Linked DNA regions of Tribolium castaneum. The protein of the gene in region 1 purifies or fractionates together with the protein of each later gene. This does not show direct contact. Links are inferred from orthologs where the notes say so. Each region holds a gene or a part of one and is shown on either strand. Other genes may lie near its edges. The genes, in order: mTor and raptor.

Region 1 (3,677 bases):
AGGCCATTAGTGAAGGGTTCCAAAGTTTCAAAGCTGTGGCTGTGATAGGCAACCAAGAAAACGTCTACACCACCCCATGTGGCGCCTGCAGGCAGTTCATGAGCGAATACGGCAACATGAAAATTTTTATTTCGAAGTCGGACCTGGAGCACGTTTTTGTGACCGATTTGGGGCAACTCTTGCCCCACCAGTTCCAGTCACCAACAATTAATCAATAAATTTATTAAAATGTACCAAATCTTTTTAAATTTGTCGGCTGTCAAAAATTTGTTTGCTGACAGGTGACTAACAATTGCGTTATTTTGAAAAATTGTTAATCACAAAAAGTGATTACGTTTGATAAAAAAACGGCCAGACTCATTTGAGGTAAGCTTGCAATATACTTTTATTACAATTGCACGTTTTTAACGCTAAAAATGCTAATTTTTTTGTTTTTTCGTGTTTGATCGTCTTTTGTTGCAAAACTACAGTTTTTTGAAGTTTGCTAAAATGTTCCTTAAAACCTGTAATAATAAAATAGTTTGTGCGAAAATTGATCAGTGGTCACGAAATATTATTTTATTTACGGTAAAATTGTGTTTTTTCGAATTATTTGTGGAAAACGTATTTTTGTTGCCAGGTTGGCAATTCAGTTTGTCAATTATGTCATTTGAAAAAGTTTGATAAAATTTTAAGTGATAAAAAGTCGCTCAAATCGCACGTTTGGTAAGTTTGTATTAATCTTAGTTGTTTATTGCGCTCCTAAACACACACTTGTAATAATTACTTTATTTCAACTAGATTATATAAAAAATAATAAGATACACAACAAAAAACTATCACGGTATTAGATGCAGCAGTCGAGTTACCAAAAGGGGCACCAGCCTATGTAACACTGTGACAAGTTCTCGTTACTTGTCGCTTGTTGTATTAACAGATCGACTTGCTTAGGAATAGTCAAAGGTTCCTCCGTAGCGAAATCGTTCCCGGTCAGTTTATCTCTAACTCGATTGATGATAATAACCGCCCTGGCATTAACTTCGTGTTGCGGTTCGTTATCTTCCATTATCATCTCGCGTTTCGGAACATTGAGCGATTCGGATGAGCCCTGTTTTTGGGAACAACTCGTCGACATTGAATCGCTGTTCATCGGCAAGTTCCGCACCTCAATATCCATCAATCGCCAATTAAGCAGGGGGTCATAAACAAAGGCTTCAAGCACCGCCATCAGACTGTCTTTATTTCGGTGTAACATGGACATGACCGACTCACAAGTCCGTCTGTACGTGCCTTCAATCCCTGTCACTTCCATGGCGTTTATTAGCATCCTAGTCAAACGGAAGGGGATCTTTTCCGGGAATTTTTCCCTAGTCATTGCCACTTCGAAGCAATCGCCGAAATCTATATGCAGGATTTTGCCGCTCAGTCTGTCCAACATTAAATTGGAGGGGTGGCGATCCCCCAACCCCAAAATATACCCAACCATTGACATCACAGCTAAAGACCGCGTGTAGTTCGTTCTCCGGTCAAACCAAACCTCAGACGAGGGGCTTTTCAGCCACAACAACCGCGCTAAATCGTCACCATGTGTGTGCTCAAGTGCGTGCTCAAAAACTTCCATTTTCTGCATCACGGTTAAATGATCATAATCCGGCGCCATCCGTAACATAATCCTATGCTCAATATTCAACAAAATCTTCTTCTTGTCTCTATAATCCCGTATTAAAGTGTGCAGCGTATCACAGTGCGGTAACCACCCAATCAGACCCGAATTCGTACTCAGGGGAATCACCGCATACCGCTGTATCGTCAAATTCCGCCTGAACGTATCCGGGTCTTTCATTAGTAAAGTATTAACTAAACCGAACAGTTGCATAACACGCTCGTCTTGTCTCAGATCCTCGTGACCTTTAAGTAAAAACATGTAGTCTTTGCCGTTGCTTCCACGAATTACTAGTTTTCGGGGCCGCTGTTTTGAGGTAATTACTTCGAGAGATCGGTTAAAATTGGCAATGCGTACGATTGGCTGTCCTGGACAGTAGCTACCAGGCACTGCCAACTCTAAGTCTTGACAAACTAGCAAATTTGGCGATACGTATTGTAATTCGAGGGAGGTGAGTTGCGGTAATTGACGCGAAATGCGGCGGAAAACGTGGTAGTAGAGGTCCCACGCCTGGTTCAGGTCTCTAATGTTGCTCGAAAGCTGAAATAACAAATTTTTCTTGGTGAAGTGGCCACAGGTTTTTTTAGCAAAACTTAATTAATTTTTCCTCATTGATAAAGACTATAAAGACAAAAAAAGCAAATATTTAGGTGAAAATACAAACCTTGTATCTTTGGCACCAGTCTTGCGCCTCGTTCAGATCCCTGCCGTACGTCTGATTAAAACTCGTCTCTTTCAACGTCTGGGGCCCCCTTTCCATCATCGCATGCAACGGTTCGAGAATTCGCAACATTCCTTTAACGTTACGTTCGCCGAAATACAATCTTGAGGCTTCTTCTAGTCCCTCGTGCCAGATTTCGTGCCACAAAATTGCCACTCGGATCAATTCTTCTGAGGCCATCATGGCCTGACTTACCAACGTAGGGGAATGTTCACTCATCGATTTTAAAATACTATTAGCTGCATTTCTACGTCTGATTGAATTACTTTTTGTTGCGACGGTTAACGGATAGACTAGGGCTTGTGGATGCGTTTTTCCAATATCAACCAATAGATGATTGATTAATTTCGATACTAACGCCGTTGTGTCAATTCGCGCGATTAATTGCGGAATTACTTGAAGCCACGTGTTTTTCTCGACTAAACGAATGCCTTCGACTATGGCATCGTAAACTTCGGGCCAATCGCCGTAATCGAACCACAGTGTTAATAAACGTAAAGTGTCTTGCAATGAACTTCCTTTAGATAAATTAATCGATCTGAAACGAACAATTAGGGTTAAAAAACGGTTTTAACCGACTCACTTGAAAAATCCCTGAACGGCTAAGACTGTATAGTGCGTCTTGTCCTCCTGTCTCGTGTAATACAAGACCGTTTCGAAATTCATATAGGCCCAAGCGTGCCATGCCTTGTACCATTGAGGGTCGTGTTCAGTCGCTTGTTTGTAACACTTCAAAATGAAAGGTATGGAGGTTTCGTTGATGCCTTCAAGTGCCTCATGCCAGGCCCCCAGTTTGAGGTAACACCTAGCCAGGAGTCTTTTTTTCTCTTCAACTGTCACGTCGTCGTTTGGCTCGTTTTGCGAATAGTCAGCGACGAATTGTGATAGTTTTTGGAACGCTTTTTGTTTTTCCTGTGCCACCCATAAATGTTTGGCGTAGGCTAGTGTGATGTGAGGCTGGTTTTTGGGCAAGGGGGCGTCGGGACGTTCGCTTGGGTCGTAACCGAGTAACATGACTAGGGTTTTTTGCGATAGCATCTATCAAACCGACTGTAGAAAAAATATCAAGTGTGAGTATGAACTTACTAATGAACCGCTCTTGCGACACAATGACGCGTATTTCACCCACGTTCGTTTGTCTTCTTGTGGGGTCAAGACCAAGGAATGGACTTGGATGATTCTTTGCCAATCTTCGACTAGTTTTTGGCCCGATTGGAGCCTTTGCCACCACATGGCTTTTAAAGTGGGCCTCCGTTCTGGCACTAACCGATACTGCATTACTTCTTCCAACTCGGATAACATTTGTACCATGAC
Region 2 (4,505 bases), about 160 kb from region 1:
GAGAACGGAGCGTTTTATTTGTACGTCGTTTCGTATCCTAACTTTTAGACATCCGTATCATAATTTAATTGATTGATTTGTTACAGAGGGAGAACTTTCGTTCGACGGGATTGATGTGTATAGTACTAGTGAACTTTGCTTGTAAGATCAGCTCAAAAAAGGACTAATAACTGCCGACAATTTATTAAACTTAACTGTTTCATTCAATTTTCCCATCAGTCAGTTCTTGCACAGCCTCTCTTGCAGTTTATTTATTAAGTCAATCAATTGGTTCATTCAGTACTGAATGCTACAGTTCAGTTAATAGAAGTGCTGATTTTTCAGCTACTTGTGTACATAGATTCAATCTTTTAACCATGTGCTTCCTTTGAAATATGGGTAAGCACATCAATATTGTGAATTATATATTTCTAATACAAAGTTTAATTACATATTTTTTACCCAGTTTGCGAGACGTGTTTTAGGTTTTTTACTATGTATCCGCTTGTTGTTATCATTTTGATTCGGAACGATCCTTTTTACTATTGAGAACTTGAACCGCCAAATAAATTGTATAACTTAACATAGTTTAATAGGTAATAAATGAATCGTCAATTTCTATAGCAGGTTGCAATATTTTCGGATTTCTGTAGGCAATTGGACGCATTCTTCATGCTCATTTCATTTTTATATTACATTAACAGAGCAAGACACTGTTTAATTCAATAATAGAAAATAAAATGTTATTTTAAAGTCTGTGTATCATTTTTTTACCAACTCGAAAACGTGTGGCGACACTTGATTGAACTTTATTAAGCCAGGATGGCCAACTCAAGCAGTCATTTTGGATGACTTGCTACTAACGCGAAATTCCTATTATTTTAAATTATTAAAGGAATTTCAAAAGACTGTATTGAGAGTATCAATAATTGGGTGGGAGCAGCAAACACGCACAATTTTATTTGTAATTTTATTAATCATTTTCGTGCGTTACAGATTCTACAGTAGCGAATTTCTCGCCTGAGACTGACAATAAACCTAACCCTACAATTCCACATTTTTTATTATTCACCGTTAAAAAATGGTTAAAGCGGCATTGGACCCCCTCGTGAATAAAACCCTCAACATCCGTTTATTCCACAGTGTTGAGAACGTGTCCGACTTGCGTAAAAAAATAATGTCAGGTCAACTTGAGTGTTGTCTCGTAAACCCCAAGTTGATTGTGGACCCGTTCCAGTTAGTCGTGGCCGCAAACAAGGCCCTAACTGCCAAAAACCGCACCACTAAAACGATTTTCACTGAAATTTTATTCAATTTGTCTGTATCCAAACACATAACGAAAAGTTTGCAACAGTTTGGGATCACTGACGACTGTAGAGACTTGCTGGTGGTGACTGTCGGCGACGACGACAGTCGCGTTCTTTCTGAAATTAAAGGCACGGAAGTGGAGTTGGGGGCACTTGAGGAGATTCGGGATTTGGGCGCTGTTAAGAAGGCTTACAAGATTGGGCCTGAGGAAGGGGCGACTAGCACTATTGTGGACTCCGTCGTCAGTAGGATAGCCACTAAGGATTTTATCTCGCATTGATTGTATTTAATATTGATAATAAATTATTAAAAAAGCTCTAAAAGCTGTTTGATTTTGGTGTTCCCGCTCGAGTGAACGAAAAACCCTAACAGTTGGTAGTAAGATGGCAGTTTTGTTGTCGTGCCATGCGTGTGTAAATTTTAGGTGTTGATTCCGTTTTTTGATGTAATCGTTACGACTTAAATAAATCCCACTTCACAACTCCTAAAAAACCCGAAAACGCGGCTGAAAACTATGACAGAGTTGGGTGTCAACGGCAATGACGAGAAAGACAGTGACAAGGAGGCTGTCTCCGACAAGGACCTGCCCCTGAGCTTCATGCAAGACAGGCACTTGGAGCCCATCGAGGGCGTCGAGTGCATAACGCAGACATGGCGCATGAAAGAACGCGTAACTGCAACCCGCCCACAAGTTGCTTGTTTTAATTACAAAATTCCAGATGAAAACAGTGAGTGTGGCCCTAGTTCTGTGTCTGAACGTGGGCGTGGACCCGCCCGACGTGATGAAAACCCAGCCATGTGCGCGTCTGGAGTGCTGGATAGGTAATTAGGTCGGCATGCGTTCGCGGAATTCAGGTCGTGTTCCAGATCCCTTAACCTTGTCCGCCCCAAAGTCGATCCAGAAAATCGGGGAGAACCTGCAGGCGCAGTACGAGCGGTGGCAGCCCCGCGCGCGCTACAAGCAGTCCCTGGACCCCACTTCGGAAGAAGTCAAAAAACTGTGCACTTCGCTGCGCCGCAACGCCAAAGAGGAACGCGTTCTGTTCCACTACAACGGTCATGGAGTTCCTAAACCGACGGAAAACGGTGAAATCTGGGTGTTCAATCGAGTAAACAACCCCCAACTAGCCCCAGCACTTTACTAACCAGTTCTCACACAGACCTACACGCAATACATCCCCCTGTCCATCTACGACCTGCAAACGTGGATGGGGGCGCCCTCGATCTACGTCTACGACTGCTCGAACGCCGGGATCATAATCGAGTCTTTCGAGCGGTTTGCCGCCCAACACGAGGCCGAGTACGAGCAGGCCACGAGTCAGTCGCGGCAAAATCCAGTGGTGGCGCCTTTGCCCTCCTATAAGAGTTGCATACAGTTGGCGGCGTGCGGGGCGAAGGAAGTGCTACCGATGAATCCTGATTTACCGGCCGATTTGTTCACGTCTTGCCTTACTACGCCAATCAAGGTCGCCTTAAGATGGTTCGTTCTACAGTCTACCTCAAAACTAGTGCCCAAAGTCACCCTGGATTTGATCGATAAGTGAGTAACCACTTGTTTTGACTTGGAAGTGGGCCAAGGTTGAGCAATGATGCGGACCGCAGACTAAACGCAAACACTTGACGGTTAATGAACTTTTACCGAAATGAAATTGACTGTTCATATTATTTTTAAACAGTAATTTGTGGCTTCGAAAAATTACACCGATAAATATGTTTTACAACAGATTGATATCGCTAGAGTAAGGTATTAACTTATCGTAAAAATATAGATTAACTCGCACTTGCATTAGGTAATTAAATATTTATTTTTAGACGTAATTTACCTGCCTATCATCGGACTTAATCTATTATTTATTAATAAAATAAAGTGTGAAGCATTTTTGTTTGCGTTCCTGAAATAATTTCTATTGTTGCGTTCTAATTATAGCTAGAAGAATTTATTTTTACGCACTTTAAAACTAATGCTGTTTTTGTTTGTTTTCCTTGGCAAAGCAGTTTTTACTCCTTCGAGAATTATAAAAAACTGGTGTAATGACAAAGAATGAACTTGACCCAAACCGCATTAAAAGGTCAGGTCCAATTATGAAACATAAACAGATAAAAGTGGGTCTAAAATTCCATTATCTCCACTTGGAAACTATTTTTTAGTTTTGAAAATAATCACTTTAATAAAATATAATGACATTTTAAAAGTAATTTACGAAAATGCTGTTTCTCTTAAGAACATTACGATTTTACTATTTACCACGACATTTTTGTAATCGATTATATTATTAATGGAATAAATAAGGTGATGTTTTTTTATCTTCTAAGTTTCCAAATTTAAACGATACAAAAATAAAGATGGAGTATTGTCGGAGTTCAAATACGAAAATTGTTTAAATATCCACATTTTGATGAAGTATTAACTGGTTTTGAAAAAAGCGCATGAAATCCTTGCCACTTTTTTGTAACAAAAGAGCAGGTAATTATGTTGAATTACTTAGTACAAAACATTCAATTGCACTAAAATATCCGGTATTTTTTATTTATTTTCCTCGATCCAAAATTCCAAAAATATTAAATCCATAATTACTATTGTGGTTAAAAGGTTAAAAAAAAGTTTCAAACCTTTAAAACAGCTCACGTTCAAGCTGTACATACGTCAGCTTCCTCAATCTTCACCCTCTTATATTGTATTTTTTGTTTTTACGTTTAAAAATCAGTAATTTTTGGGTGTCTTTTTTTTTAATTTTTAATTTAAATCTCCAAACGTTGTAAGACTGACAACTTTTATGATTATATTATAATAATATTTAATAATAACAATAATAGAAATAATAAAAAAAAGTAATAGTATTTTTCGACCATAGTGTAACTGTTTTACTTTTGCGTTTCATCATTTTTATTTTCACTAACCTTCCTGACAATAAGACGAATAAGAGAAGTGATAGTTTACTATTTACTAAGGAAAGAAGGTCGATGTTTTTTTGTAATTTTTTATAATTTATCTGAATAAATACATTTGTGGATAAAATTGTAGGAAATCTAGTATGTCCTATAATAGACAGGCAAAATAAAAACACCGTACTTGAGTGTTTTTCAGTTTAATCATGTTTATACAGTTTTTTTTTCAGTTTTAATAAAGTTTGTTTCAATTTTTTTTTATAAATACTAATTACTAAACTTTCTCATTTGAGCTGAATTACAAGGTTTATACTATTTATTATGAATACTGG

Evidence for each region.
Region 2: the proteins of mTor (region 1) and raptor purify together in Drosophila melanogaster (affinity purification with western blotting; 3 studies listed by BioGRID, with this or other methods). This does not show direct contact. The link is inferred for Tribolium castaneum from reciprocal best matches to the Drosophila melanogaster genes mTor and raptor.

What each region holds. Positions count from the first base shown.
Region 1 is NC_087399.1:3,310,493-3,314,169, reverse strand, and holds the end of mTor (serine/threonine-protein kinase mTOR), read right to left. Parts: coding exon 3,450-3,677; intron 3,402-3,449; coding exon 2,947-3,401; intron 2,902-2,946; coding exon 2,307-2,901; intron 2,183-2,306; coding exon 845-2,182; 3' UTR 754-844; downstream 1-753. Other genes in the region: cytidine deaminase, read left to right, coding at 1-218. UniProt on the Drosophila melanogaster protein: Promotes cell and tissue growth, maintains tissue homeostatis and controls responses to environmental stress and aging. Regulates growth during animal development by coupling growth factor signaling to nutrient availability. Central regulators of autophagy.
Region 2 is NC_087399.1:3,466,285-3,470,789, reverse strand, and holds the start of raptor (regulatory-associated protein of mTOR), read left to right. Parts: upstream 1-1,644; 5' UTR 1,645-1,801; coding exon 1,802-1,957; intron 1,958-2,006; coding exon 2,007-2,109; intron 2,110-2,154; coding exon 2,155-2,396; intron 2,397-2,447; coding exon 2,448-2,827; intron 2,828-4,505. Other genes in the region: Arpc2 (probable actin-related protein 2/3 complex subunit 2), read left to right, coding at 87-114; EKC/KEOPS complex subunit Tprkb, read left to right, coding at 1,061-1,567.